7 linked regions of the Sus scrofa genome follow. The protein of the gene in region 1 interacts with the protein of each later gene in a pairwise test. Links are inferred from orthologs where the notes say so. Each region holds a gene or a part of one and is shown in the gene's direction. Other genes may lie near its edges.

What was found.
Region 2: the proteins of LDOC1 (region 1) and FXR2 interact in binary tests that used the Homo sapiens proteins (3 or more experiments, as listed by UniProt). The two-hybrid records come from large-scale screens. The link is inferred for Sus scrofa from reciprocal best matches to the Homo sapiens genes LDOC1 and FXR2.
Region 3: the proteins of LDOC1 (region 1) and GNL3L interact in binary tests that used the Homo sapiens proteins (3 or more experiments, as listed by UniProt). The two-hybrid records come from large-scale screens. The link is inferred for Sus scrofa from reciprocal best matches to the Homo sapiens genes LDOC1 and GNL3L.
Region 4: the proteins of LDOC1 (region 1) and ATF4 interact in binary tests that used the Homo sapiens proteins (3 or more experiments, as listed by UniProt). The link is inferred for Sus scrofa from reciprocal best matches to the Homo sapiens genes LDOC1 and ATF4.
Region 5: the proteins of LDOC1 (region 1) and HDAC4 interact in binary tests that used the Homo sapiens proteins (3 or more experiments, as listed by UniProt). The two-hybrid records come from large-scale screens. The link is inferred for Sus scrofa from reciprocal best matches to the Homo sapiens genes LDOC1 and HDAC4.
Region 6: the proteins of LDOC1 (region 1) and ZBTB16 interact in binary tests that used the Homo sapiens proteins (3 or more experiments, as listed by UniProt). The two-hybrid records come from large-scale screens. The link is inferred for Sus scrofa from reciprocal best matches to the Homo sapiens genes LDOC1 and ZBTB16.
Region 7: the proteins of LDOC1 (region 1) and NXF1 interact in binary tests that used the Homo sapiens proteins (3 or more experiments, as listed by UniProt). The two-hybrid records come from large-scale screens. The link is inferred for Sus scrofa from reciprocal best matches to the Homo sapiens genes LDOC1 and NXF1.

The regions. Positions count from the first base shown.
Region 1 is NC_010461.5:115,579,325-115,583,421, forward strand, and holds LDOC1 (protein LDOC1), read left to right. Parts: upstream 1-1,297; 5' UTR 1,298-1,511; coding exon 1,512-1,952; 3' UTR 1,953-3,805; downstream 3,806-4,097. UniProt on the Homo sapiens protein: May have an important role in the development and/or progression of some cancers.
Region 2 is NC_010454.4:52,886,258-52,889,757, reverse strand, and holds part of FXR2 (fragile X mental retardation syndrome-related protein 2), read left to right. Parts: intron 1-468; coding exon 469-578; intron 579-789; coding exon 790-876; intron 877-1,174; coding exon 1,175-1,397; intron 1,398-1,864; coding exon 1,865-2,062; intron 2,063-2,155; coding exon 2,156-2,356; intron 2,357-2,454; coding exon 2,455-2,550; intron 2,551-2,681; coding exon 2,682-2,782; intron 2,783-3,127; coding exon 3,128-3,223; 3' UTR 3,224-3,500. UniProt on the Homo sapiens protein: mRNA-binding protein that acts as a regulator of mRNAs translation and/or stability, and which is required for adult hippocampal neurogenesis. Specifically binds to AU-rich elements (AREs) in the 3'-UTR of target mRNAs.
Region 3 is NC_010461.5:47,282,744-47,285,020, forward strand, and holds the end of GNL3L (guanine nucleotide-binding protein-like 3-like protein), read left to right. Parts: coding exon 1-201; intron 202-1,440; coding exon 1,441-1,523; 3' UTR 1,524-1,777; downstream 1,778-2,277.
Region 4 is NC_010447.5:8,742,953-8,747,058, reverse strand, and holds ATF4 (cyclic AMP-dependent transcription factor ATF-4), read left to right. Parts: upstream 1-1,306; 5' UTR 1,307-2,205; intron 2,206-2,777; 5' UTR 2,778-2,869; coding exon 2,870-3,095; intron 3,096-3,191; coding exon 3,192-4,051; 3' UTR 4,052-4,095; downstream 4,096-4,106. UniProt on the Homo sapiens protein: Transcription factor that binds the cAMP response element (CRE) (consensus: 5'-GTGACGT[AC][AG]-3') and displays two biological functions, as regulator of metabolic and redox processes under normal cellular conditions, and as master transcription factor during integrated stress response (ISR).
Region 5 is NC_010457.5:138,654,467-138,658,670, reverse strand, and holds the start of HDAC4 (histone deacetylase 4), read left to right. Parts: upstream 1-1,404; 5' UTR 1,405-1,490; intron 1,491-4,204. UniProt on the Homo sapiens protein: Responsible for the deacetylation of lysine residues on the N-terminal part of the core histones (H2A, H2B, H3 and H4).
Region 6 is NC_010451.4:41,638,171-41,642,335, forward strand, and holds the start of ZBTB16 (zinc finger and BTB domain-containing protein 16), read left to right. Parts: upstream 1-1,365; 5' UTR 1,366-1,689; intron 1,690-1,709; exon of another isoform or gene 1,710-1,956; intron 1,957-3,181; exon of another isoform or gene 3,182-3,305; intron 3,306-4,165. UniProt on the Homo sapiens protein: Acts as a transcriptional repressor. Transcriptional repression may be mediated through recruitment of histone deacetylases to target promoters. May play a role in myeloid maturation and in the development and/or maintenance of other differentiated tissues.
Region 7 is NC_010444.4:8,968,585-8,972,867, forward strand, and holds the start of NXF1 (nuclear RNA export factor 1), read left to right. Parts: upstream 1-1,483; coding exon 1,484-1,511; intron 1,512-4,283.

The DNA.
Region 1 (4,097 bases):
ATGCTATGTAGAGAAATGAAGCAAGGCAAACGTTAGAGGTTACTGGCAGAGAGTGGGGTGCTCTGATAGATGAGGTAGTTAGGAAAGTCCGCTTTGAAAATGGAGGAAGAGTCAGGCAGTAAAACCAGGAGAACATTCTGAGGCAAAAAAGAAAGTACAAAGATCCTGAGGCCAGAGCCACTCAGTGTGTGTGAGCCTCAGCAAGAAGGACAGTGTGATGACAGCAGAGCAGGAACTGGGACAAGGCAAAGGGAGTGAGGCAGGGCTTGATAGGCCATTACCGAGACTTTGGTTTTTATTTTGAGCGAAGGGGGAAAAACTATTGGAGGGTTTTGAGCAGGAAAGTAAAGAGATCTAATGTTTGTCCTAAAGGATTCCTATATCTACTCTGGAGTATGTATATAATACACACACACACACACACAACTTGAGGAAGAGAAGAGTGGAAGCTAAGTGATGAGCTGCAACAGTCTGTGTGAGAAAGGAGGGCTGGCCTTAGGGTGGTAGTGCTGTTTAGAGATCCCCAGGTAATTAAACTGCTGATATATTTAAAAAGCAAAGCTAAAAAAATATATTGGCCCCAAGGTCCTCACCCTGACTTATTTGTCAACTATTTGAATAATCACATTCAAAGTAGAAAACAAAACTATTTTAAAAACACATGTGTTCATTGTTAAGCAAAGAACAATAACCAGTAGTAGGACATGAAATAGAGTCAAAGATAGGCAGGACTCATGCAAATGGTGATTGGATACTAACTTTTGCAGAACTTTTTACACTTTGCTATTTAAAAGTAATTTTAAACAAAAGGATAGAGGTACACAATATTATTTTACAACTAAAGAAAAACCTCTTTTTAAGTATTACTTTGTCATGAAAGACAGGACTCCTGAACGTCTTTCATAACTCTTAAAGGATGTGACTCCTGCGGTGCAGCCAGAATTGCTAATAGTTCTCTGAGTGAGGGAGATTTAAACACGCAAAGAAATGTGTTAAAACCACATAAATGGAATCTGGTGGCCACAGACCCACCGAGGAACATTGAGTCGTTTGGGTTGAAGGGTGGTTAATCCTTTAAACTTGAGCAGGTTAACCCTCTCTGGGAGATGGATCTTAGCGTTTGCTCGGCCTTGGCTAAGGCCTGGCCCGCATCTAGGGCTGGATCTCCCCCCACTGCCTTTATCCACGGGCCGGGAGAACTGCGAGCCAGCAGCCCGAGACCCTGCCCGCCTCCTTGCCTGGCCACGCCCTCCCTCTGTCCGCTCCACTCTGGCCACGCCCCTCCTTTCTCCAGTGCCCGCCTCCCTCCAAGCGGGCGGCGCCGGCGTGCCGGCCGTCAGAGCCGCTGTGTGGGTGGAGCTTGCGCAGCTGCCGGGACCCCTGCGCGCACCGCCTCTCGCCCCTGGCCGCCGCGCGCCTCCGCGGACACGCACTTCCTGCAAGGCCTCCTTGCTCACCTTAGCCGATCCGAACCGAGCTGAGCCCATTCTTGCTCTTACAAGCTGTTCGCCATGGTGGACGAGCTGGTACTGCTGCTGCACGCGCTCCTGATGCGGCACCGCGCCTTGAGCATCGAGAACAGCCAGCTCATGGAACAGCTGCGGCTGCTGGTGTGCGAGAGGGCCACCCTACTGCGCCAGGTACGTCCGCCGAGCTGCCCGGTGCCCTTCCCCGAAACGTTTAACGGTGAGAGCTCCCGCCTCCCTGAGTTTATCGTGCAGACGGCGTCTTACATGCTCGTCAACGAGAACCGGTTCTGCAACGACGCCATGAAGGTGGCATTCCTAATCAGCCTGCTCACCGGGGAAGCCGAAGAGTGGGTGGTGCCCTACATTGAGATGGATAGCCCCATCCTAGGTGATTACCGGGCCTTCCTCGATGAGATGAAGCAGTGTTTTGGCTGGGATGACGACGAAGAAGACGACGAAGAAGATGAAGAAGCTGATTACTAGGCCGGGAGACCCTCGGGCCTAGGGGGGTGGGCCCTGCACGCCGCCACCACCCCCCGCCCCGCTTCGCTCCTCCCGGAGCCGCGACACTTCCCTCGCTCCCTATCTGCTTCCCTAGTCTTCCTAGTCTTCGCTCTGGTTCTCTTCCTTATTCACCGCTCCCCCCCCCCCCCCCCCCCCCCCGTAGTGTTTGTCTTTGTTCTGGGAATAGTGCTACAGTTACCTGCTGCTGGGGCTGGGGCCTCTCTGAAGTGCGCTGCCTCCCACTCAGGCCAGTCCCAGGGCCCAACCCTGCTAATTTGAACTGTGTTCTGAGCCCCAACTATAGGGCAGACTGTTACAAACTGGTCAGACTACCCACAGCCCTGCCGATTGTCAGGCCTACATCTGCCCAAAGACCGACGCTGCCACCTAACCAACCTCCATCACATTCCAGCGACAGACAGACCAGGCCTTTGGAGACAAGGACCAACCTAGAAGATGCTTTTAGTTGGCTATACCACCTGGGACATTGATTTGGACTGCTCACGCCCACCCCACCCCCCCACGAGGGGCGAATCTTTGCACCTGGTTCGTTCCCTCCTTTCCTAACTCATAGAGTCTTCTCCTGCCTCACCAGGTTGCTGCAGGGGCCCGTTGTGCCTGGCAGCCAAATTATTGACATTTCTCTTATGCACCAGTTTTGCACAACTGTCATTTTTCTTTTAAAACTGAAGCAGTCCCACAGCTGTGTGCATTTGGACAAAAATACTAAAAACAAAAACCAGACAGACAAAAGCAGGTACTCAGCCCAGCTCCTCAATACTACATAGAAAAAGCATTTGCATTCTTTTCAATAAATATCAAGCACTACGGAAAAAAAAGAGCGTCTTTTAATGGTTAAGTGCTATCATTGGCCTTTGCCACTCTCACCCTGACTCCCATTATTCCTACTGATATCAGAGAGCCTAGTTCAATCCCATTATTCTCTACTGTCATGTCTGGGCAATAGAGGACTGCTACTACAGAGCTTTATAGGGAAACTGGTGCTCCCCTCACCAAGGCACTTTTTAAAGCCCTGGTGAAGTGAGTGTCCTCTGGGGCTTCCAGGATGGGATGAATAAGGGGTAGTTGAGTAGATGGCACACCATCCCAAACTGGGACACTCGAGAGAAAAAGGGGGCACTATTACTAATCGGAATGGGACAATAGGCGTACATCAGGGCACATACCATATTCCTGTCTTCCTGAGCTTTTGGGTTCTTTCTCAGCCCTGCCAGGCAAGTGCTGCCTCTTAACTCTTATTCCTTGCAGGGTGCTGTTTGAGTTCAGGCTTCCATAAACAAGGTAGCACATTGTTTCAATACCGATTTTAGATGCTTGAGCTAATGTTAAATCCTGAGTCCTGGGTAAATGCACCCATAAGTGGAGCCAGATTTTAATGTTTCATCCTCCTTGGGCAGATAACCCTTAAGATCCCCACCCATCTGTGTGCCCCAGATTCCTGCCTGTAGAAATCGACAAGATGCCTGGCTATCTCCCATACTAGATCTTGTAATGCTGTCTGAGCTGTGCTGAGATCTTTTTGTGGGCCTGGAGGGCTGGAGGCCCTAAGGGAGTGGGGTGAGTGCTGAGAATAATCTCTACTTTTGTGAGCCCATAACCCCAGGTTAAGTCTTTGAAATGTTAAATCAGGGAAGCCTGATTAGGGGATTTGTGGGGCCTATCGCTGCCAGCCAGGAACTGTCAGGAGGATTTGAGGGGTTCAGAATTCTGATTCTTACATGTATCTGCCCAGATGTCTTCTGTACCATGCCGGGAACCAGCCCTACTTTAGAACCTCTAATTTAGATAATAAAATTCCTTCTTGTTTAAGACCTTTTGATGCTGAGTGTTTTATTTGTACCAATAAACCTTACATTGTGGGTTCAATGAGATACAGGGAACAGGTCTCTTGCTGTTGAGCTGGGCTTCAGTAGGAAGGTGTTAGGAGTGAACAGGAGCAGAATAAGCTCAGCAGAGAGAATGGAAATGAGAGCATGACAAGAGTTCATTTTTACTCTTTGGGATCTGACATGAAGTCAGATAGAAAACCAGTTTACTTGGTGAACAGACAAAGTCTAGAGCAAGAGTCATCTTTTGGACCTAAGAAAGTTGTTTCTGTAGGGT
Region 2 (3,500 bases), on another chromosome or scaffold:
GAGGGACCAGTTGTGAGAGTCATTGTTTTGTTTGTTTTTGTTTTTTAATTTTTGGCCATTCCCGTGGCATGCAGAAGTTCCTGAGCCAGGGATCAAACCCATGCCACAGGTATAACCAGAAGCACAGCAGTGACAATGCTGGATCCTTAATCTGCTGAGCCATGAGGGAACTCCAAGAGTCTTTAAATTGATTCTGGGCTTGGCGCCTCCCTGTGAACTTCCGGTTTTGCAAGGACAGAGCAAACAGTCTATAGTAGGAGTGACAAAAATGGGAGAACAGGTTTCTAGGGATTGTTATATTTTATCCTATGAAAATGCACCAGAAGCCTAGAAGCAGGAGAACTGTTAAACAGAATCATTATTAAAAAGCTGGAAGACTGTTTATCTTGTCTGTTTTTACTCTTCTTTCTTTCCTTTTTTTTTTTTTTTTTTTTTTTTAAAGGCCTAATTTCTCCTTTATCCATTTAGGCAAAGTGATTGGAAAGAATGGAAAAGTGATCCAGGAGATTGTGGATAAGTCTGGTGTGGTGAGGGTTCGAGTAGAAGGTGATAATGACAAGAAGAACCCCAGGGAGGAGGTATGGGTCAGCTATACCTAGAGACTGGTTTCTGAAAGTAGATGGGATCATTCTCTAAGCCATTCTCTGAGGGCTGGACTTTCTAGGGGTTGGGGCACCGGGACTTTGACTTCCCCTAGTAGACGTAGAGCCCAGAAAGATCTCATTCGGGTGGACTTACACTTCATTTAAGTCTCCTTCTAATCCGTCTGTCCTCCCCCCTGCTCTCCAGGGAATGGTTCCCTTCATATTTGTTGGCACCCGAGAGAATATCAGCAATGCTCAGGCTCTGCTGGAATATCACCTCTCCTACCTGCAGGTACCCAAGCCGGAAGCCTGGGAGAGGAAAGAGCCGCGTGTACAAGGGGACTAAGGATGCTGGTGGAAAAAGTTAAAAGTGATGCTTCCCAGTTTGTGTCTGAGTAGAACAGAAACCATGGGGTGGAAACTTGGGGCTGTGGGGCTGGATTCCAGAATTTTCTGTGTTAAGCCTTCTTGCATTCCTGAGAGTTCAGATATGTAGGGACAGTCAGGGCAGAGAAGCATGCAGAGAGGCTGTTGTTGAGCTTATACTTTTTTCTCCTTCCTTGTTTTTTCTCTGACTTCTGCCCAACCAGGAGGTGGAGCAGCTTCGCCTGGAGAGGCTGCAGATTGATGAACAGCTTCGGCAGATTGGGCTGGGCTTTCGCCCTCCTGGGAGTGGGCGGGGCAGCGGTGGCAGTGACAAGGCTGGATATACCACGGACGAGAGCTCTTCCTCCTCTCTCCACACCACACGAACCTATGGGGGCAGCTATGGGGGCCGGGGCCGGGGCCGGAGGACAGGCGGTCCTGCCTATGGTGAGCCGGCTATGGGAGAGGGAGGCAGGGCAGTGGTGGTGGGCGGGGGCAGAGGTCTGGGTGGAAGCTTGAGGAAAGGGTGATAGAGAAGATGAAAAAGTGGAGTTCCTGTTGTGTCTCTGGTAACGAACCCAACTAGTATCCATGAGGATGCGTGTTCAGTCCCTGGCCTTGCCCAGTGGGTTAAGGATCCGGTGTTGCCGTGACCTGTGGTGTAGGTTGCAGAGGCTTGGATCCCGAGTTGCTGTGGCCACGTAGGCAGCTGCAGCTCCAATTCGACCCTTAGCTTGGGAACTTCCGTATGCCGTGGGTGTAGCCCTAAAAAGACCAAAAAGAAAAAAAGGAAGAAAACAAAGTGATTGGCTGGAGGACTTAGGAGAGAGAGAGTCTTCAGCCTGGAGGCTGTGATGGATCCTGGGGTAGGGAGAGTGACCCTGATTGAACCTCACTGTGTTGGTGTTCGTCAGGCCCCAGCTCAGACCCATCTACAGCTTCTGAGACGGAGTCAGAGAAGAGGGAGGAGCTCAGCCGAGCTGGGCCCGGTGACAGGGATCCCCCGACTCGGTCGGAAGAAAGCCGGAGGCGGCCTGTTGGGGGCCGGGGTAGGGGACCCCCGCCTGCCCCCCGGCCCACCTCGAGATACAACTCTTCGTCTATCAGCTCAGGTACCAGAAGCAAACAGCTGGGTTTGTGAATGTGCGCCAAAAGGAAGGATGCGGTGATGGCACCTGACTCCTAACTCTTCTTCCTCTAACCAGTGCTGAAAGACCCAGACAGTAATCCCTACAGCCTACTGGACACATCTGAACCGGAGCCCCCAGTTGATTCAGAGCCAGGGGAACCCCCCCCAGCAAGTGCCAGGCGCCGCCGCTCCCGCCGCCGCCGCACTGATGAAGACAGGACTGTCATGGATGGAGGCCTAGAGTCTGACGGGCCCAGCATGACAGAGAATGGCCTGGGTAAGTAAGGGGTGTACCTGGGTCCGAAAAATTAGAACTGGGCAAGAATTGAGAGGTGGGAGATTGATGCACAGCTCTTGTTTTTCCCTGCCCCACAGAAGATGAGTCAAGACCCCAGCGTCGTAATCGGAGCCGCCGCCGCCGCAACCGTGGTAACCGGACTGATGGTTCTGTCAGTGGAGACCGTCAGCCAGGTCAGCCAGCCCTGGGGCTCAGCTCCTTCCTCAGAGAACAGGCTGCCTCCTAGCCTGTGAACTCTCGGGCTTGGGGTTCAGTGGTCGGGTACCTGGGTCCCTTCTGAAACTCGGTCCTCTGCCTTCCCCAGTGACTGTGGCTGACTATATCTCCCGAGCAGAGTCTCAGAGCCGCCAGCGGCCACCCCTGGAACGCACTAAACCTTCAGAGGATTCTCTTTCAGGACAGAAGGTAGGCAAGCAAGATGTAGTTCCCCCTACCTCCTTTTTTGTTGTTCTAGGGCAGGGGGGGCACAAGAAAACTGCCAAAGAAATCTCTTACTAAATTGCAGAGAAGGTGTGTCTGACGGAGTGTAGGCTGCATTTAGAATACTGGAAAGTTTCAGTAGAGGAGAAAGGAAAGTTGGGTTCTTATTTTCTGGATCTGAGTAAATGTGACTAGAGTCCCATCAGGTGAACCAACCCCCGGGTCAGCGGATGCCTGGCGCAAGGGGACGGTAGGGGCTTGTCGTTACCTGGATTTCTACTGACCCTTCTCTTTTCGTCCTCTCCGTTTTCTTTCCCATTTCCCCCTCAGGGTGACTCTGTCAGCAAGCTTCCTAAGGGCCCCTCAGAGAATGGGGAGCTCTCCGCCCCCCTGGAGTTGGGTAGTTTGGTGAATGGGGTTTCATAAACCCTCCAGCCCGCATCCCTCCCTTCTCCATCTCGCTTGCTGCCCAACACCATGGCCCTCACAGGCCCGACTGACCTGCGCTGGAGCTGCTCTTATCTAGGGGGGAGGGGGGTGGCACAGCAGCTTGGGTCCCCCCCAACCTCCAGGAGCTAGTGGAGGGGTGTGTAACAGGGTCATACCCCCTCCCTCTTGTCCACCCTACCCCCAGGGTAAGGGGAGCCTCTCTCCTTCCCCATCAGACTGGATGTGCCTTTATCCTCTAATGCCCCAATCTCTC
Region 3 (2,277 bases), about 68 Mb from region 1:
ATTGTACCAATCCAAACCGTCATCAGATGGGGTGGGCTAAGCGCAATGTGGACCGACACCCCAGAAACAACAGCACAGTGGAAGTCTGCTCAGTGGACCGCCGCCCGATGCTACAGAGAATCATGGAGACAGACCCTCTGCAGCAGGGCCAGGCTCTGGCATCTGCCCTGAAGAATAAGAAGAAGATCCAGAAGCGTACAGGTGGGGGTCCCTGACCACCCCACTGTGCTCCAGAAAGGGCCCACCTAGAGCCTTATTTAGGGGCTTCTGAGTGAGCATTTCCATGTGTCCAACCCCAGGCTAGGGTTGGGGGCAGAAATGGGTTAGGAGGCTCTCCTGCTACCACAGTGGTTCTCAAACTTTAGCTCGTTTTAGAATTGCCTGGAGGGCTTATTGAAACACAGGTTTCTGGGACCTGCTTTCAGAGTTTCTGATTGAGTAGGTTGTCCATGGGGCCTGAGAATTTATGTTTCTAACTTGTTCCCCATTAGTGCTGATGTTGCTCCTCTGGGGACCACACTTGGAGGACCACTGGCCTAGTCTTATATATCAAATAGCCATTTATTTATCAGCTGCTTCTAATTCCTTTCATTCCCCCAGTCACCCAGGCCTCCCCCCAGAGGCAGCCATTTAATTTCTTGTATCTCATTCCTGAGGTAGGTGCACAGGCAAATATCGGTATGTTCTTCCTCTTTTTCTAGACAAATGGCTAGTCTCCTGAACGTACATTTTTGCCACATCATTTTTCCACTCAACATATATTATGGATAGTTATGCCTCAGTTCACAAAAGAACTTTCCCCTTTGTGTTAATGGTAGTGCGTTGTGTGGCTGGTCCATTTGGGTCACATGCTATATTAATTTTCACTAACTCATTGCAAAAGTCTTATTTGGTGAGGAAATTGTCACTGAAGACATAGCATGGTGAGGGAACCTAACCCAGCCTGGAGGTGGTGGTGGGGTTGAGGTGATAGAGAAGGCTTCCTGAAGGAGGTGATGTCTGAGGCAATCCTGAGGAACAGTAGGGTGTGGCTGGAGGATGGAGGTGAGCATTCAGGCTCAGATCAAAGCCCCTACTGCTATGCTGCCTCTTTCTTGTGAGAGATTTGAGGGTAATGGCAGGGTGCTAAGTTCAACATAGTGAAAGAAAATAGCTGTTTTGATACTAGGAAGGGATAAAAATACTGAAGCTTAGTAAGTCTGACACTCTGAGATTCAGGCTATGTTGGGGTGATCATTTCACAGGTAGATGAATGGGTCTACCTGCGAGGTTGAGCAGTGGCTGCCAGTAGGCCACCAGTTGTTTTGTTTAGTGTTGGAAGGTGATCAGTGAGCCAGTTTGGGAGTTTGATGCAGACCTAGGTAACCGTAGGCTAGCTCTTGTGGGCCTCCTGTTGGCAAGCCAATAACCAAGTAACTGACCGTTTTTTTCTACCTGCAGACAAACTCGCCAGCAAGCTGTCTGATTCCATGATGTCTGTCCTTGACCTCTCTGGCAATGCTGATGACAGTGCTTGTGACTGATCCACTGATCTCATCTCCCTCCCCTCCTCCAAGCACCAGATCCAGTGGGATGGGAAATAACAGATGAAATGAAATGGTTTGGTTCTCCCTGAAGCACCTGCATATTAAAAGAACTCTCCCTGCTCTTTCCCTCTATTTTTTTTGAGGGGAAAAAAATAAACAAAACAGTCCCAAGTGTCTGATACTGGCAAACCCAATACTCTTTATTTAACCCCTACTCTGTTTGTAAGATAAATAAAATAATCAACAGATCACTTATGTGAACAGTTTATCTCCCACCATATAGGTTTTGCTGGTTGGAAGACTGATCCTTCACAAAACCCTCTTGGACAGCTAAAGATGCAGTTAGGGGCTAGGCTGCTTGTAGATTTAGGAGTTCCTGGGAGGGTGATGATTTCTTTACCAATCCACAGCAGAGCTCAGCAGCAAGACATTCCGCAACAGGTCTTCCCCCCACCCAAGTCCACAAATCCTTACCTGGGGGGCAGTGAGAGTAGGGGGAACAGTGATGAGCCTTCTGAGTCTATAAAGGTATAGGAATAGGATAGTGGAAAGAAGAGCACACACAAGCCTGGCTGGCACTGAGGTGTGGTCAGCATTGCCTTGTTCATGCAAAGAGAAAGCAAGGCACCTGTTGGCAGGTGTGTTGGGGGCAAAGCCTGCCTTGGGGACATTTCTGAACTGGCTGTGAGTTGGAGGAATCCCTTGAACTGAAGCACTCTGGCTGGGCCCTGCCTTTGTGTGATCATATCTC
Region 4 (4,106 bases), on another chromosome or scaffold:
TTGGGTAGTGGCTCGGGGGTAGTGGCTCGGGATTCTTACTGTCTTTGCACCAAAAGACCAGATGCCTTGTACATGTTTCCAGAGAATTGAGATTCCCCAAGGGGAAAGAAAAACCATACCTAGTATCCAGTATGCTTTCCTAGACCAGCTGTTTATAGTTGTTGATTTCATCTCAGTAAATAACAGTCCTCTGAGGGAGCAGGATATGATGGGGATGGGAGGTGGGTTAGAAGACCTGCGTTCTAGTCACAGGAGTAATGGCAACCATTTATCCAGCACTTACCAGGTACCAGGCGCACGGCTCAGTGCTGTGAATATATTATCTTAACTTCATTCTAAGGATGAGGATACCCATCATTAGCCTCGTTTTACAGATCAGGAAACGAAGACTCAGTGGGGGTAAGTCACTTAACCAGAATGTCTCCACTAATAAATGGGAAAGCCAAGATTTTTTGGAATTGGCCCTTAAATCTGTCATAACTCCTACCCCATACTGCCCACACCAGGCAAGACATGTCATGCCTTTAGTCATCAGCTTACCACTGTAAAGAAATGGTTGGGCTAGACTGACTCAAATCAATGAATGGTTAGTTGTTATGTAGGAAGTGCCTGACCAATTTTTGACCTCACTGTCCTCATAGAAATAATATTTGTAGGGCCCACTGAAATGAAGGGGAGTGGAAACTCAAGGTTTCCCTACAGGGCCTGATTGGAGGACTGGAAGATGGTGAAAGAGCTTTCTCCTAGCTCTTGACAGTTCCCCAGTAGAGAGGGCAAGTTACTGGCCCTAACCTGGACTGTGGCCTCCAAACACACAAATTCCCCTAAGTGGGCAGGTCTGATCAAGCACCCAGGCAGTAGGACTTGCTGGGAAGTGGTTATGCCGCGGAGTTACAGAGTTGGTAAATAATTGAAACTACCCTAGAGTGAGAAAGAGCAGCTAAATAAAATACCTCATTTTTAGGGGAAGTGAAACTACATAAACTGAAAGAAGTTCCCCTGTCATAGGTTTCATTCTTTAACATAAAAGGAAACTTGTATTTTAGCAGAATGGATATGTAAAAATACAATTGTTTAGACCACAGGATTATGGATTTCCTCCACTCGACTCGCCTCTACAGAGTTGAGTCAGGACGCAGAGCAGGCCTTTGATGGTAGGTGGATCTCAGCTGAGGTCATCAGTCTCCCCTTCCAGTTACTGAAGGGTTCACACGTCCTCAGTATTCTGCAAGTGTGTGCAAGTGAAAACAGACGAAATAACATTTACTCTTGACTAGTTTCACATTCGGGCCTAAACCCGGTCCCTAGTTCGGAGCTTCTCCAAGGGCGGCAGGAAAGGACCACGAGGATTCGGACCTAACGCCACTATTTGGATCTGGGCCAGGGCTGCCCGGGGCAATCAAGGCCAGCTGGGTGGGCGGGGCTGAGGGAGCCTTTGCAGAGCGGCGCTACGGCGAGCAGGACGCCGGGGCCCGGCGGCGGGAACCTCACCCACCTTCCCGCGCAGATCAGGGGCTCCCTCGCTGAACAACCCGCCCGCCTCGGAGCCTGAGCCAATAGAAACTCGATGTATATATGACTCACCATGCCTAACCAATCATTTCGACGCGCGCTCTCCGCCAGTAGCTCGCGCGATAACCAGGAGACCTCGTACTTCACAATAAAAGCCCTTCTTGGGGTGAAAGACTCGTCTCCGCCTCTCGGGCTAGCACCGGAAGTAGCTGTGCAAGATCCTTCCGCGCATCCCGGCAGCGGACGGTGGTGATCCTTAGATCTCAAAAGCCTTGTAAAGTAGTGCGCCCTTTTTTGAGGCTGTAAATAAAAGTAACTCATTTGGTCCTCACAGTTTCGCCCTCGACATAAAAGTCAGAGACTGGAAATGGTAGGGGCGTCGGTTAAATGAAAGCGCGTGGGTGGGAGGCGCTGGTCACGTGACCTAGGCGGAAGAATATTCTCTGTGATGCGTCCCACAGAGGCAGAGTCTATAAAGGACCCGCGCTCGGCGAACCGCCGCCATTTCTTTTCCTCTCCGCTGTAGATGTAGTCCTTTTCTGCGAGTGGGCGCTTTTCTTCCTCCGCTCCCGCAGGGTCCGCGGCCGCCATGGCGTATTAGAGGCAGCAGTGCCTGCGGCAGCATTGGCCTTTGCAGCGGCGGCAGCAGCACCAGGCTCTGCAGCGGCACCCCCCAGCGGCTTAAGCCATGGCGTAAGTACCGGGGCCCGACGCTCTGGGCCGTGTCCCCCCGGGTCGGTGAAGGGTTCTTGTCTGATGCTGGGGCGCGGTCCGGCGGCGTCGCGGAGGGGGAAGCGGTTTTACGAGCGCCCGGGACGCGTGGCCGCTGATGGGGTGACGCCGAAGCGCCAGCGCCCCTGGGTCGAGAGGCCGCTGCGCTGTTCGGGCGTGGGGCGAAGTCCTCGGTACCTCCGGCCCCGGCCGGGGGGCCGGGGCTCCCCCTGGGGCTCCACGAAACGTGGCAGCAGCCAAGATGGCGGCGGGGCAGGGCGGCGGCCGCGGCGTGAGTCACGGGCGGGCGTGGGCGGGGCCGGACTCGGCCGGGAGGACCGGGCGCCTTCCTCTGGTGGCGGGTCGGGGAACGGCCGGGCGTCCATCTTGCGCCGCCAGGCGGACGCGGGGAAGGTTGGCAGCCGGGGCCAGCGGCCCCCAAGTCTCAACAACCACACGGGGTCGGGATTTGGCCGTCCTGCCCCGGGGGTGGAGAGGCGAAAGGCTCAGACCAGCTGTTCTCTAATGGGGCTTGGTTTCTGGTTCCTGTTAAGGCTTCTCACGGCATTCAGCAGCAGCGTTGCTGTAACCGACAAAGACACCTTCGAATTAAGCACATTCCTCGATTCCATCAAAACTCCGCAACATGGCCGAGATGAGCTTCCTGAGCAGCGAGGTGTTGGTGGGGGACTTGATGTCCCCCTTCGACCCGTCGGGTTTGGGGGCTGAAGAGAGCTTAGGGCTCTTAGACGAATATCTGGAGGTGGCCAAGCACTTCAAACCTCATGGGTTCTCCGGCGACAAAGCTAAGGCGGGCTCCTCCGAATGGCTGGCTGTGGATGGGTTGGTCAGTGCCTCAGACAACAGCAAGGGTGAGTGGGCTTTTCCCTGCCGGTGGGGTCTGGTGATAAAGCCTTGCTGCCGCGTGCATCTGACTCTGGGTTCCGTCCCTCTTAAATCTCTTGCAGAGGATGCTTTCTCCGGGACAGACTGGATGGTGGAGAAAATGGATCTGAAGGAGTTCGACTTCGATGCCCTGTTGGGTATAGATGACCTGGAAACCATGCCAGATGAGCTTTTGGCCACGTTGGATGACACATGTGATCTCTTTGACCCCCCACTCCAGGAGCCCCCGCAGATAGTGAACCCAATTGGCCATCTCCCAGAAAGTTTACCAACAACTGACCAGGTTGCCCCCTTTACGTTCTTGCAAACTCTTCCCCTTTCCCCAGGGGCCCTGTCTTCCACTCCAGATAATTCCTTTAGTTTAGAGATACAGGGTGAAGTGGAAATCTCGGAAGGAGATAGGAAGCCAGACTCCACTACTTACATTACCTTGATTCCTCAATGCATAAAGGAAGAGGATGCCCCCTCAGATAATGACAGTGGCATCTGTATGAGCCCTGACTCCTATCTGGGCTCTCCCCAGCACAGTCCCTCCACCTCCAGGGCCTCTCCAAGTAGGAGCTTGCTCTCTCCCGGGGCCCCTTGTGGTTCTGTCCGGCCCAAACCCTATGATCCTCCTGGAGAGAAGGTGGTAGCAGCAAAAGTAAAGGGTGAGAAACTAGATAAGAAGCTGAAGAAGATGGAGCAGAACAAGACAGCAGCCACTCGGTACCGCCAGAAGAAGAGGGCAGAGCAGGAGGCCCTCACTGGCGAATGTAAAGAGCTGGAAAAGAAGAACGAAGCTCTGAAAGAGAAGGCAGATTCCTTGGCCAAGGAGATTCAGTATCTCAAAGATCTGATAGAAGAGGTCCGCAAGGCACGGGGAAGAAACGCGCCCCCTAGCTGCCGGGCAGGGGTGTGCATGTGCTTGTACATAGGCTAGGGCTTTAGCTGTGTGTTGCAATAAATTATTTTGTAGTGAACGTACTGCTGATGAC
Region 5 (4,204 bases), on another chromosome or scaffold:
GAACTCCAGGTCTCAACACTCATCTTGGCTCTCAGCTCGTGCATCCGCGCACCCTCAGTGCTTCCCTCACTAGGTGGAGAGCAGGGATTCTGAAAAACGTTAGGCGCACCGAGGCTGGGAAATGAAACGACCAGGGGGTGGTCGCCGGAGACCCCGCCACGCCCTTCGGGTGGGCGGCCCAAGGGGTCTCCGAGGGCCTCCGCGAAGCCCCATGCGGCCGCTTGACAGCACAAACCACCCCAGCACGGCATCCCTCAAACACTGAGCACCCAAGGCAGACGGGCTGGTCGACGGAGTCGAGCGAGGCGGACACGGCTGGGACCACCCGGCGAGCCAGCCGCCCCGTCCCTCCCAGCCGCGCAGGCGCGCTGCGCCCGCCCCACGCCCGCGGGAAGGCCGGCCAGCCCAGCCCCAGCCCCAAAGGCCGCGTTCCCGCCGCGGGGCAGGGCGGGGCCCGCTGCGCCTGCGCACTCGCCTCTCGCGCCGCCCCTGCGCCTCCGGGAGGCGGCACCACCACGTGACCACTGCCAGTACCCAAGATGGAGGCTGTGGCCGGGCCTAACCCGCTCCCCGCCTCAGCCTCCGCCCCGGTCTGCGCCCACTAGGCGGGCAGGCCCGCGGTCATGATTGTTAAGCCACCGTGGGCAGCTCTCGGGGGGGCCGGAGAGTGAAGCTCGCCAGAGCCCCTGCCCTGCTCACAGTCACCACAAGCCCGGGCTCTCTCCACTTTCCCAACCGCCAAGCGCCCAGCGGCTGGCGCCTGGAGCGTCCTCTGATAGCCCCGCCCCTGGGATTGGCAGCTCCGGCAGCCAATAGGAACCAGGACGTACCGGAGAAGGCGGGTAGGGGTGGAGCATCCCTGCCGTTCGTAGGGCGTCGGGCCTGGCGGTTGGCGGCCGCTGGCCGAGGGGCGGGAGCAAACGGGGCGGTACCCGGGGCTCCCGCGGACCAATGGAAGGACGGCCGGGCTCCCGGGGAGGGCGGGGCCGAGCCGTAATTGACGAGCTCTTCATTAGAAACCCGGCAGGAGGGAGGGGCCCGCGAGGGGAGGTGATGCAAAGCCGCCGCAGCCAACGGCTGCAGAGCCGCCCGCCGGGGGGCGGGGCCGGGGCGGCTGACGGGCGTCGGCGGTGGCCTATCAGTGCCCCGCTCGGTGCTGGAGGGGGGAGCAGCATCATGGTTCAACGTGGGTCAATTTTTTGTGAATGAGGAGGGGAGGTTGTGGGGCCGCCGCCGCGGAGCACCGTCCCCGCCGCCGCCGCCGCCGCCGCCGCCGCGCCCGAGCCCGCGCGCCCGCCCGCCGCCCGCCCGCCCGCGCCGCCGCCTCAGCCGCCTGGGCCCGGCGCGCCGCGGCCGCGTCCCCGCTGTCGCCGCCGCCCGAGCGCCCGCCCGCCTGCCGCCCGCGGTGGTGGTGGCGGCGCAGGCTGAGGAGATGCGGCTCGGAGCGCCCGCGCGGGGCTAGAGCGCCCGCCGCCGCCGCCGCCGCCGCGGTAAGCGCTGCCCCGGCCCGGCCCGCGGGCCATTGTCCACCCCCCGCCCGCCCGCAGGCCGCCCGCCGGCCTCCACGCCCCCCGCCGCCCGGCCCCGGCAGGTGGACGCCGGGGTCCGCCCGGCCGGCCGGCCCGGCCCGGCCCGTGCGCCCAGGCCGCGCGTGGCGCCAGCCCGCGGGCGTCCGGAGCGGGAGGACCCGTCCTGGACCTTCCCCTGCTGCCCCAGCCGGCGAGGGCCGACGCGCGGCCGGGGCAGGATGGCCGGCTGGCCCCGGGCGCCCGCGCCCGTCCAGGCCGAGCCCTCGGCAGGTGGGCCGGGGGCTCCCGAGCCCGGGCGGGCGCCGTTTATGTAACTTTGTCGAGGCTGTGAGTTTGCAGAAAAACGTCCCTCCGCGGGGCTCGCGGGCGGGGTGCGCCGTCGCCTGGTGTGTGCCCCGGCCCGGAACGGCAGGGGTGGGGGTGCTCACGACCCGAGTGGGTGCCCGCAGGCTTCCCACAGGCCGAGCTGTGGCCCCGTCCTGCCCCGAGGATGTGAGCCGCGTTTCCGGGCGTTGCAAGCACACACCATGGAATTATAAGCAAATTATCTCGTATTTACATTTAGCGTGGAATTATTTGACACTGTTCTAGCAGGAGATCGTGCGTATCAGTCGGAAAGGCCGGGGGTGGGACCCAGTGTACTCATTTAATGCACATCAAAAATTTGTAATAACTTGCAGCAGCTGATATGAGTGTTTGCTTTATTGCATGTTGTAAATTGACCTGCTGTGACACAATTTTCAAATAAAGTGTTGCAGAAATTAAACTCAAGTTATTTTAAAACTAATGACTTTCTTAACTAAATCCTAATTGCATTACTGTAGAGACCTACCTAATTGCTCGCAGCAGCTCCGCCTGCCCTCGGTGAGGGAGGAAAGGGCCTGGGTAGTTACTTTGCTTCCCCCTCTTTTCTCTACTCAGGCTTTTCTGTTTATTCCCACAAACCACCTAAGCATGAGAGGCCTGGGAGCAAACATGTAAACAGCCCTCGCCCAGCGCCAGCCCAGCGGGATGGGAATTCTGGTGGGTTTGCACCTTGGCCTGGTTTCACTTTTTCTTTTGTAACATGATCGTGATTGCCTTGAGTTTTCGTTGCTTCTGATAATTCTGTACGTTATTTCGGAGACGGTGAAGCGAATGAAAGCTGTGAGCACAGGTGTGGTGGTTTCAGGATCGGGCCAGGAAAGGTGGGGGGGGAGGGCGAGAGATTGAATTAAGAAAACTCAGCTGCTTGTACACAAATATACACTACAGCAATTACAAAGCAACAAAAGTTATTGCAGAATTTTGCAGTCACTATGGCAACACAATTACTCTATTATAATTGGAAATGCAAAATGCCACCCTGTTAGAAGTTTCATCAGAATGGAGCTCTGGATATCAAAAATATGTGGGGTTTAAATTTTTTTCAGGTAGCTCCTGAGAATTCTAAAATCTGTGTTCAATTGTCTATTTTTAAGACTGATCAAGCTTTCCCAGATACTCTGCTCCCTGGGATCTGTGGCATCTTTCCCCAGAACTCACATTTGTGTGGGAGGGAAGTATTTTCCTGCCTTAAAAACACACACTCTGACACATTGTTAGACTTCTATAGCTTTCTGTGTTCTGGGCTTTTATTTTCAAGATCAGAAACCTTCCTAAAGAGAGCAGTAATCAATCAGAAAAGAAGCAGGATTTCTGCGCAGGCAGTTGTAACACTGCCCTCTTTAGGGTTGGTTCTTCCTCCTGCAAGGGGACCTGGCAGCTCGAGTGCCCCTGGGAGAGCCCTGGGATGGGGGAGGTTGGAGGCGGGGGTGGGGGGGTGGGTGACTGTGGTCTGCACGTAGGCCTGGAAGGCCTGGGGACCAAGGACAGATGTGGCCTGAGCAGCCGTGAGCCAGGAGAGAATGTTCTGTGGTCAGCAGCTTCACAGCCATGCAAAATAAAAAAAAATCTCTAAATGCCCAGTTCGCAGAGGCTGTGGGGGCCCTTGCTGTAGCAAGATGGACAGACCAGCCTGGCACCCCGGCCACGTGCAGCTGGGGAGCAGGTCCAGACTCAGTGGTCGGAGACCTGCTGTCTGAGGGTGCCCTTCTCCATGTTTACCAGGAGGCCTTGAGTTCTGGAAGTTTCCACACATCGTGGGGTTGCTGCAGTTTAATTTCATTATAACTCTTTCCTTTTAACTACTGCATATTTATGTCCAGTAATCGACTTCCATTTTCCAGCTTCATTGTGAGGTTTCAATGCAGCATGAGTGGCTTTGAATTCTCATCCTTTGATGTTGGGGTGGCACCGGGGACAGGCGACTTTGTGCCGTCCTAATTGCCAGAGCAGAAGAAACATTTCATCACTCCTGCAGAATTCGTCCATACCGTGCTCTATTGAAAACGGCTGGGCTTTCATCACTCAGAAACTGCCATGAGTAATAGATTAGTGCCTGATGGAGGGAGCGAGGGAGATGCCGAGAGCGCAAGACCACTGCTGCCGCCGGGAGGCTGCGGGGCCTCGGGCTGTGGCTGCGCCTCGGGTCCCTGGACCAGGTCGCAGCCCCTGCTGGTCTGGCCTGGAGGGGGTTTGGTTTCCGTCCCCGATGGGCGGTCAGGATGTGCCGGGGCGTGCAGGGGGCTCAGGGCTTTGGCCTTGACCTAGAGGAAGGTGGAGGATCTTCTGGTTGAAGTTAGAGAGGGGCCCTG
Region 6 (4,165 bases), on another chromosome or scaffold:
GCTTCTCCCTCAGCTTTGCTTCTCTCCTCTGACTCCTGCAGGTCTGAGCACTTTTCTTGTGAACAGAGAGGGCTGCTGGCTGGGATGGAATTGCCTATCCTTGGGACTACCCCATTAGCAGCTCTTGAACCCAGATCAGTTCTGATGTAAACCTCCCCCAAGGGGCCTTATGGGGCCAGAGCAGATTTTTGCTTCTATTGGCTTCTGCCACCCTTCCTGACTCTTTAATTCCTGGGGCCCGACTCTCCGTTAGGGACAGTGTCTGAGATGTGCCTGGGGATGTGATAAAGGCACTGAACGTGGGGACCCAGTGACTGAAGCCCCTCGTTGCTAAGGCTGAATGACCTCCAGGGCTGACTCTCCGGAGACCCAGGGAGGGCGCTCTCCGCCATCACCCTCACCCCAACGCTCCTGGACGTTAGCCCACTGCGCCTCTCGAGCCCTATCTTCAACAAGCTCTAGGGAAAAGGGCGGAGAAGGGGACTCTGCGCATCCGGAGATTTCTTCTGGTGGCTCTACCCGGGGGCTACCGACCTCAACCCCATCCTCTAAAGTGGAGGAGCCAGATGAGAGGAACCACTTGCGGTTCTGAATCGTCTTCGGGCTTTTACTCGCCCCCTGAAGACTTTGCCCTGAAGGGGGTGCAGTTCTCAGGAAATGTTTTCAACTAGGTTCCCTGGAGGGCAAAGGCTAGGGGATGGCCAAGACTGGGAGGGAGAAAAGTTTCTCTCAGACCTCGACCTTGGCCTCCAGGGGTCGCGACAGCCAAAATGGGGCACCGCCCCTCGACGATAGAGCCCGCGGACCCTCTAGCATCTGGTTTACCCGGGCCGCGAACTCTGCGCCTGGAGGCTACTGGCAGTCTGGGTGCTCAGAAGACCCGGAGGCACAAAAGGCCTGGGCTTAGGCCGGTAAAGCGCCCTTCAAAAACCGATGTCGAGGTACAGGCAGTGCCACCCCGAGTACGTTTAGAAAAAGTGCAAGGCGAGATGACACGCACTGAATAGGGGCAAATACTGGAGCCAGGGACAAAACTCCAAGCTTGGAGCAGCTGGGGAAAACAAAACCTGTGTCCAGTGGAAATTAAAAACCTGGGGGGGTGGTTGCTCCTCGCCCCTCACCTCCATTGCCCACTCTAAGGCTTCCGAGTCCCTGACCCTCCTCTCCGCCAGCTCCGTTCCTCTCCGCTTGGCCAGTGAGCGGCGGCCGCCGGCGCCCCAGCAGCAGCTAGATGTCAGGCAAAGCCCGGAGCGCGGCGCGCAGGGAAGGGAAGGGAGGGGAGGAAAGGGGTGGGGCGGGGAGCGCGCGCGGGCTTGGCCAGTGCGGGGGGTGGGCGGGCTGAGTCCGGGGACAGCGCGGGAGGGGGGAGGGAAGGGGGGCAGCTGTGGGCAGGGAGCCGGGCTCGGCCGCCAGCACTAAAGATGGAGAGGCGCCGGGGCCTCGCAGGGGAGGGGGCTCGGCGTTGACGTGGGACGCGGCGGAGGCGCCGCAGCCGGTGGTGATTTGCTAACCTCGCAGTAGAGAGGAGTTGAGGGCGATGAGAGCGGGTACTGCGAACTGCCGGGCGATGCCGCCGCTGCCGCCTTGATACCGAGAGCAACAGTTCCCCAGCAACACCCCCCTCCCCGACACAGGCACACCCCCCGAGGAGGCACGCACACCCACCCCACGGCGCCCGGCTCGGCAGCGGTGAGTGGGGGCCCGGGGAGGGGCGCACCGCCCAGCTGTAGCCTTGCGCCGGGGCGCCCCGGGGCTGGAGAGGTCTGGGGGGGCGCGCTCGCTTCGGCCACTCGGCCGTTGGGCTTCTGCCTTGTTTTATTCTGCTTGTTCCCTTCCTGCTGCTGCGGCCGTCGCCACCGGCGGTTGGGGGTCGGCTAGAAGCGGGAGCCTCGGCTGTCAGCTTGGGCGCAGCTGCGTCCCCAACCCTTCCGCTCCAGGGCACGGTCGGGGCGAGAGGTGGGGGGCAGAGCGGTCTGCGGGGGCTGAGGGCACGAGCAGAGGGTTGGGGATCGGGAGGCTTTGTACCACCAGGGGCCAGCGGAGGAGCCGGGAGCCTGTGGGTGCTCATATGTATGCCGACCGGTGCGCGGGCGCGAGATAGGGCTGTGGTTTATTTGTGTGTTTATTCGCCGGCCGGCTGGGAAGCTAGAATCGGAGGATCCGAGGAGTAGATCTAGGGCGAAGGGAAGCAGAACTGGGACTCAGTTGGGTTTTGTTTCTCTTTGCAAAACGTGGTGGGCTCTTTTTTCCTGACTAGAGTTGACCAGCCCCCCCGCCCCAGGTTTTTTTTTGGGGGGGGAGGGGCACCGTGGCCGTGCGCTCTGGAGGGTCTCCAGCGCTCCGGGCCCTTCTCGGCTCTCGGCGGGACCCGCCGTGGCGCCGGAGCTCGCAGTTGCGCTCCCGGCCGCGCTCGGTGGGTGCTCGGCTTTGCACCTGATGCGTTCGGGATGCTTTTCTCACCCCGGCAAGCTTGCGGCTCGCTTGCAGAGCCACTGGAACTCCCGCACGCGCTCGAAATGCGCACGATCTCGCCGGCCCGCGGACCCGCTGGAACGCACAGACGCGCTCGGCAGAGACTCGCTCGCCAAGCTCCCCGGGACGCTCGCAATGTGCTTGGGCCCGGCGCGCCGGCTGCTGGGCGCCACCAGCCCGAAGCCCGGGACCTTGCTCATTGCTCCCGGGGGTCACGGCCCTGGGGCGGAGAGGGAGAGCCCGCAGACCCCTTTTCGTCTTTCCTCCCCCAACTCGCTGTCGGGCTTTTGTGCTTCTCCTTCGCCGCGGGGCGGGTCAGCCTCCTCGCAGCTCTCGCCCAGGCGTCCGGCCCGCCCGGAGTCTCGCCTTTCGTCCGGGTCTCTTTCGCTTTCCCTCTTGCTAGCCCGACTGCCTTTCTCTTTGCCGTCTGGCTCCCTCGGAAAAGTTGCTTCTCCAAGTTTGCTGAAGTCTTCAAGTCTCCGTGGGGGTGGCTGAAAGCTAGGGGTGTATGAGAGCGCGATCGATCCCCGGAGCTCGAGAGGGTTAGCGCCGGCTTTCCCTCGCGCCGCAGGGCTGGGCGCTGCAACCAGCGCCAGCCGGATCGCGGGCGCCAAGCCGCGGGTGGCGGGGACCGCTGACCGAGGCACCCTGATTTCCCTCAGGATCCAAGGAGCTTGCGTCGGGGAAGGAATTCGGGTTAGCCCAGCTTCCGTTCTTTGGATTGACCCCTCCTAGTTCTCTGAAATCCCGAAGTCTGGAAAGCGCATGGTGGCAAGGCGCCCATGAATGGCCGTTTCCCCCCCACCAGCCGCTGCTTCAGTTCTCACCCCAGGGTGAGGAGCTAAAGTGTCTTGATTAGTCGTCTTGTTAACCCTTTCTGCATAAGACTTGTGGCTATAGAGTGAGTAGGGCGCCTTTTGGGAGCGAAGGCCAGCAGCGTTCCAAGAGAGAGGGAGAGCCCTTGCTCCGCTTTGCTCCCAGGTCATTTCACTGCAGTATTGACCACAGCACAGCAGAGGCTGGGAGGGACCTGGGCCTGCGAGGTCTTTCTGACACTCTTTAGACACGTTTGGGAGTCCCACAGCCCTGTTACTGATCCCAGGCGGTTCTTTGGGAGACGCCTTTGTCTCCAGCCCTGTCTTCCCTTCGTATTCATCAAAACTCACACCATAGATACTGTTGTCAGTATCACTTCTTGCACCTCCAAGCCATGTCCAGCATCAGTAACTGCTCTGGGTCATAGGCCTTAGCCACTCCTGGGAGCCTGTGGGACACACTTGGAATTCACCTTCCCAGCATGTGCACTTCTGGGTTTAGGGGTGCTTATTTCTTAGGATCTCTCTATAGGTCCTTCATGACCTAGCTTACATTATACAGGTCCCCCTGACCAGTGGGCACTGGTGGGCAGCAGATAAGTACGACATATTATGTAAGTGCACACATGTGTTAACTCTCTCTTCCTCTCTGGCTGGTACGTGCACACACGTGCACACACACAGTCCAGGTTTTGGATTACATTTCGATTATGAGCACTTTGAGGAACCTATGGGCGGCAGTCAGCCAAGCTAGAATGTGGCTTATGTGAGTGTCTTCCTCTCAGTGTCTAAGGAGGGAGTCAGGCATGGGTTCATCAGTCCTTTGCAGCCTTGAGGAGAGCAGGAGGACAGAGGCATTGGCTGGAGAAGTCGATTTC
Region 7 (4,283 bases), on another chromosome or scaffold:
ATCATAACTAAAAGGGTTGGGCTGATGGCCCTGACGGGCCAGGCTCACTCACTCTGTGCACACAGCTGCCTCCCGCAGGGGGTTTCCAGGTGTAGCAGCACTTAGTTAGCATGGAAACTTCCCTTCAGAGGCCCGTAACAGGATCCCAGCCTGGGTCCCTGATTGACGGCAACTTCCAGGACCATCTCCAGAAGTATTTGGACCTGTCTCATCTGCATGCTCCAACCATTTGGCCCCAAACTTACTTGCGCTGGATGAAGTAGGAGCCCTGCCTGCTGCTAGGAGTGAAGGTGACATGAAGAATCCGTTCCCAGCTCCAGCTGAGGCTCTTGGTCCCCTTGAAGCCCCTCACCACATCCAAGCCAGTCAGAAGAATGAAGGAGTGACCTGCCTGGAACACCCACCCTCCAGGGAGGTTAATATGCTTTCTAGTCCTGACCAGGACCCAGAACCACATCATCCTGCATCACTGGAGTTCCCCCACTTCACACACCCGAAAGGAAGCTCAAGCTGTAGAGACAACAGTCACTATACACTGTGCTGGCCCCAGTACTTTGAGGGGTCCAGGAGAGCCCAGGTCTTTCCTAGCCATGGCATTTTAATATTTCCTCTCCCTTTGGCCTGTGTTCAGCGTGTGGTCAGGCTGGCCTCCTCACTGCCCAGTTGACACAAGACGTGGGTTTAGCATAGCACATCCCGGTGGGTTGGTGGGTGGGTTGGTTTGTGAAGACAGCCAAAGCCTGGCAAATGCCGTTTTTCTCTCCTTTGATTGCAACTCTCTCGGAGGGAATGCATAGATCAGTAGTTATTTCACAAATATATGTTGGGTTCCTGCTGCGTGCGTGCTAAGTATGGTATCCAGTCAGGTGCCGGAGAGAAAAAGCCGTGAATTAATCAAGCCCCTGCTCTCTAGGAGTTTACCGTTAGTTTTCTATTTCATTTTATAGGCGAGGAGACCGAGGCCTAGATCTGCAAGTGTCAAAGGGCTGAGCTGAGACTTGCCCTGGCTGGATCCTTCTAGGTGTCTATGTGCGGTCACTCCCGCTCCTAAGGGCCTGGTCTCCCACTCCTCGGAAGCCCTTCCTGTAGCCCCTCTTCCCTGTTCCTCTCGGAATCCTGGGCTGCAGTAGCCACCTCTCCGCTTCACCGCTGACCCTGGAGGTGCTCCAGCAGAGAGCTACTAGCGGCGGGGTGGATGAAAGCAGGGGGCCGGCGAACCCGCGGTAACTCGGCTTCCCAAGCTCAGGTCCTGGGCGGGGCGTGCAACGCCAAGTCCCGCCCCCGGCTAGTCCGCTCGTCGAATGCGCACGCGCGTCTCCCAGTGGTTCCGCCCATCACCGTGGGACGTCGGCTGCGCGCGACGCGCTGGCCGCATAAATGCGGCGGCATCCGGCGTAGGAGCACTTCAGCCGGGAGAGCCTGGGCGTTCGGACGTTTGCCGGTGTCGCGGGCCGCGACAGAGCCCGCCCCTGCTCGCTGCGCCATGGCGGACGAAGGGAAGTCATACAACGGTCAGTGCTGGCCCTTGGGTCGGGGAGCCGGTCGATCTTGGGCCCTGCTGGGCTGCGCCAGCCTAGGCCGCAGCGCCGGGGCGTGAGGCCGCGAGGGGCCCGGCGTCCACGGGGAACGGCGGTGGCGCGGCGCGGGCCCGGGGCGAGGCAGCCCGGGGGCCTGGGTGAGCTTGAGGGTTGGGTGCCGGGGTTGTTGACGCTGGGATCCTCCCTTTGCGGGCCCCTGCGACTCGGAGAGGTGGCTCAGTGGTGGGGTGATGAGATTCCTTTGAACTTTGTGGGTGGTTGATGCCTGTCAGTTCAATTTGGCGGCCAAACTGTTTAATGTGAGTCAGTGCCCTTCTCCTGGGCTGATGTGCCCTATTTTCTACCGCGCGTCCAGGCGATTTTGCCCCCTCCCCCACCTAACGCGTCTGTCGCTTAGGCTTAATATTTTAGATCTGCACATCAACTCGATGTTCTGGTCCAAACACTACACTGAGTTTTAGTCCAGAGCGGTGGTTAGGAGCCGAGGTTTCAATCCCGAGTTGGCTATGCCAAGCTTGAGTAACTTACACCCTCAGACTTCGTTTTCCATCTCCTTAATGAGGATAGAAACAGTACCAGCCTTCTGAGTTTGTCTCCGTGTGTGTGTGTGTTAAAACGAGATCATTCATGTCAGGTGCCTGGAGCATAGTGCCTGACACTGGAGAAGAGTGCTCAGTGAATGTTAGCAACGACTTGTGTGCATTTATTACTTTTTTCCTAGGGTAACTTCTTGAGAAACTCATATTTTTAGTTTTTTAAGGAACCTCCATACTCTTTCCCGTAGTGGCTGCACCAGTTTTCATTCCTACCAACAGCGTAGGAGGGTTGCCTTTTCTCCACATCCTCTCCAGCATTTGTTTTTGTGGACTTTTTAATGTTGGCCATTCTGATTGGTGTGAAGTGCTACCTTATTGTGGCTTTGATTTGCATTTCTCTAATAATTAGTGATGTTGAGCATCTTTTCATGTGCCTGTAGGCCATCTGTATCGTGGGTCTTTTTTTTTTTTTCTTTCTTTCTTTTTTTTGCTTTTTAGGGCCCCAGCCGAGGCATATGAAAGTTCCCACGCTAGGGGTCCAATCAGAGATGTAACTGCTGGCCTACACCACAGCCACAGCAACGCCGGATCCTTAACCCACCGAACTAGGCCAGGGGCTGAATCCGCATCCTCATGGATCCTAGTTGGGTCCGTTAACCACTGAGCCACGCAGGGAACTCCTTCATGGGTCTTTTTTAAGAAGCGCTTCCTACACACCAGGGTTCAGAGGATCATATTCTTGGAGAGGACCCTTGGTGAAGCATCCTAACTGCCACTGGAACCTGAATTCAGGAGTTGTCTCCTTAGTTAAAAGCCTTTTCTGACCAAGAAAACAAAGAGCTCACTCCCAAACGTTCAGAGTGGCAGTTTGAGAATAAGACTTTTAAAAGAAGCCCTTAAATTGGTCCTATCTGTGTGTGGTGTTTGTATTGTATGGGCAAAAGGAGAGCTGTTTCCCCGAAAGCTAGTGTAATCATGAGGACGGATTTGCCACCTGTGAGAGGGGTCACCTCGGGGTTAAGTAGATTTGGGTGGGCCCACAGAAAGCGGATGTCGGGTGACTTTTGAGGGGTTCGAATTGTGTCCAGTTACTCTGGGTCACTCACACTTCACATTCACTTGAGAGTGGCAGTTGGAGAGCAAGATTTTTTTTTTTTTAAATCTTTTTAAATTGAGGAAGGTTGATTTACAATGTAATGTTGGTTTCAGGTGTACAGCATAGTCATTCCTGTATTTATAGATTACACTCCATTAAAAGTTATTGGAAAATAATCGTTGTCATTCCCTGTGCCGTACAACAGATCCTTGTGGCTTATCTCTCTTATACTTAGTAGTTTGTATCTCTTAATCCCATATCTTGCCTTATCTTGCCCCTCCCCCTCATAACCACTAGTTTGTTGCCTGTATCTGTGAGTCTGTTTCTGTTTTGCTGTATACATTTTATTTTTTTAAATTCCACCTGCAGGTAATGTCACATAGTATTTGTCCTTTTCCCTCTGGCTTATTTCACTAAACGTAATACCCTGCAAGTTCATTCATGTTGCAACTATGGCAAGATTTCATTCTTTTTGATGGCTGAATAGTATTCCGTTATGTGTGTGTGTATGCACCACATCTTTATCCATTAGTCTCTTGGTGAACACTAGGATCGCTTCCATAGCTTGGCTACTGTAAATAGTGCTACCGTGAACATGAATCTTTTTGCATTATATATTTCTTTCTAGATGTATATCTAGGGGTGAAATTGCTGGTGGTCATATGGTAGTTCTATTTTTAGTCTTTTGAGAGGAGAACAAGACTTTAGAAGATGCTTGTGGAGTTCCCTGGTGGTTCAGCAGGTCGAGGATCTGATGCTGTCACTGCTGCAGCATGGGTTTGAGCCCTGCCCTGGGAACTTCTGTATGCCTTGTGGGTGCAGCCAAAAAAAAAAAAAAAAAGGTCTTAAATTGGTCATATTTGTAACTGACATTTGTGCTCTATAGGCAAGAGTCCTGTTTACCAGAGCTGATGTAATCATTGAGATTGGTTTTTCCCCTTGTGATTGGTTTTCCTTTGTGATTGGTTTCCCAAGATATAATCACTGACCACATTTCCAGTGGAGTTAAGTAGACTTGGGCACTTGAGAGCAGGCAGTTTTCAGGTGACCTGACCGAGTGTGAGTTGTGTCCAGTTACTGCTCGGGACACTCGCACTTCCACATTCTGCTTCT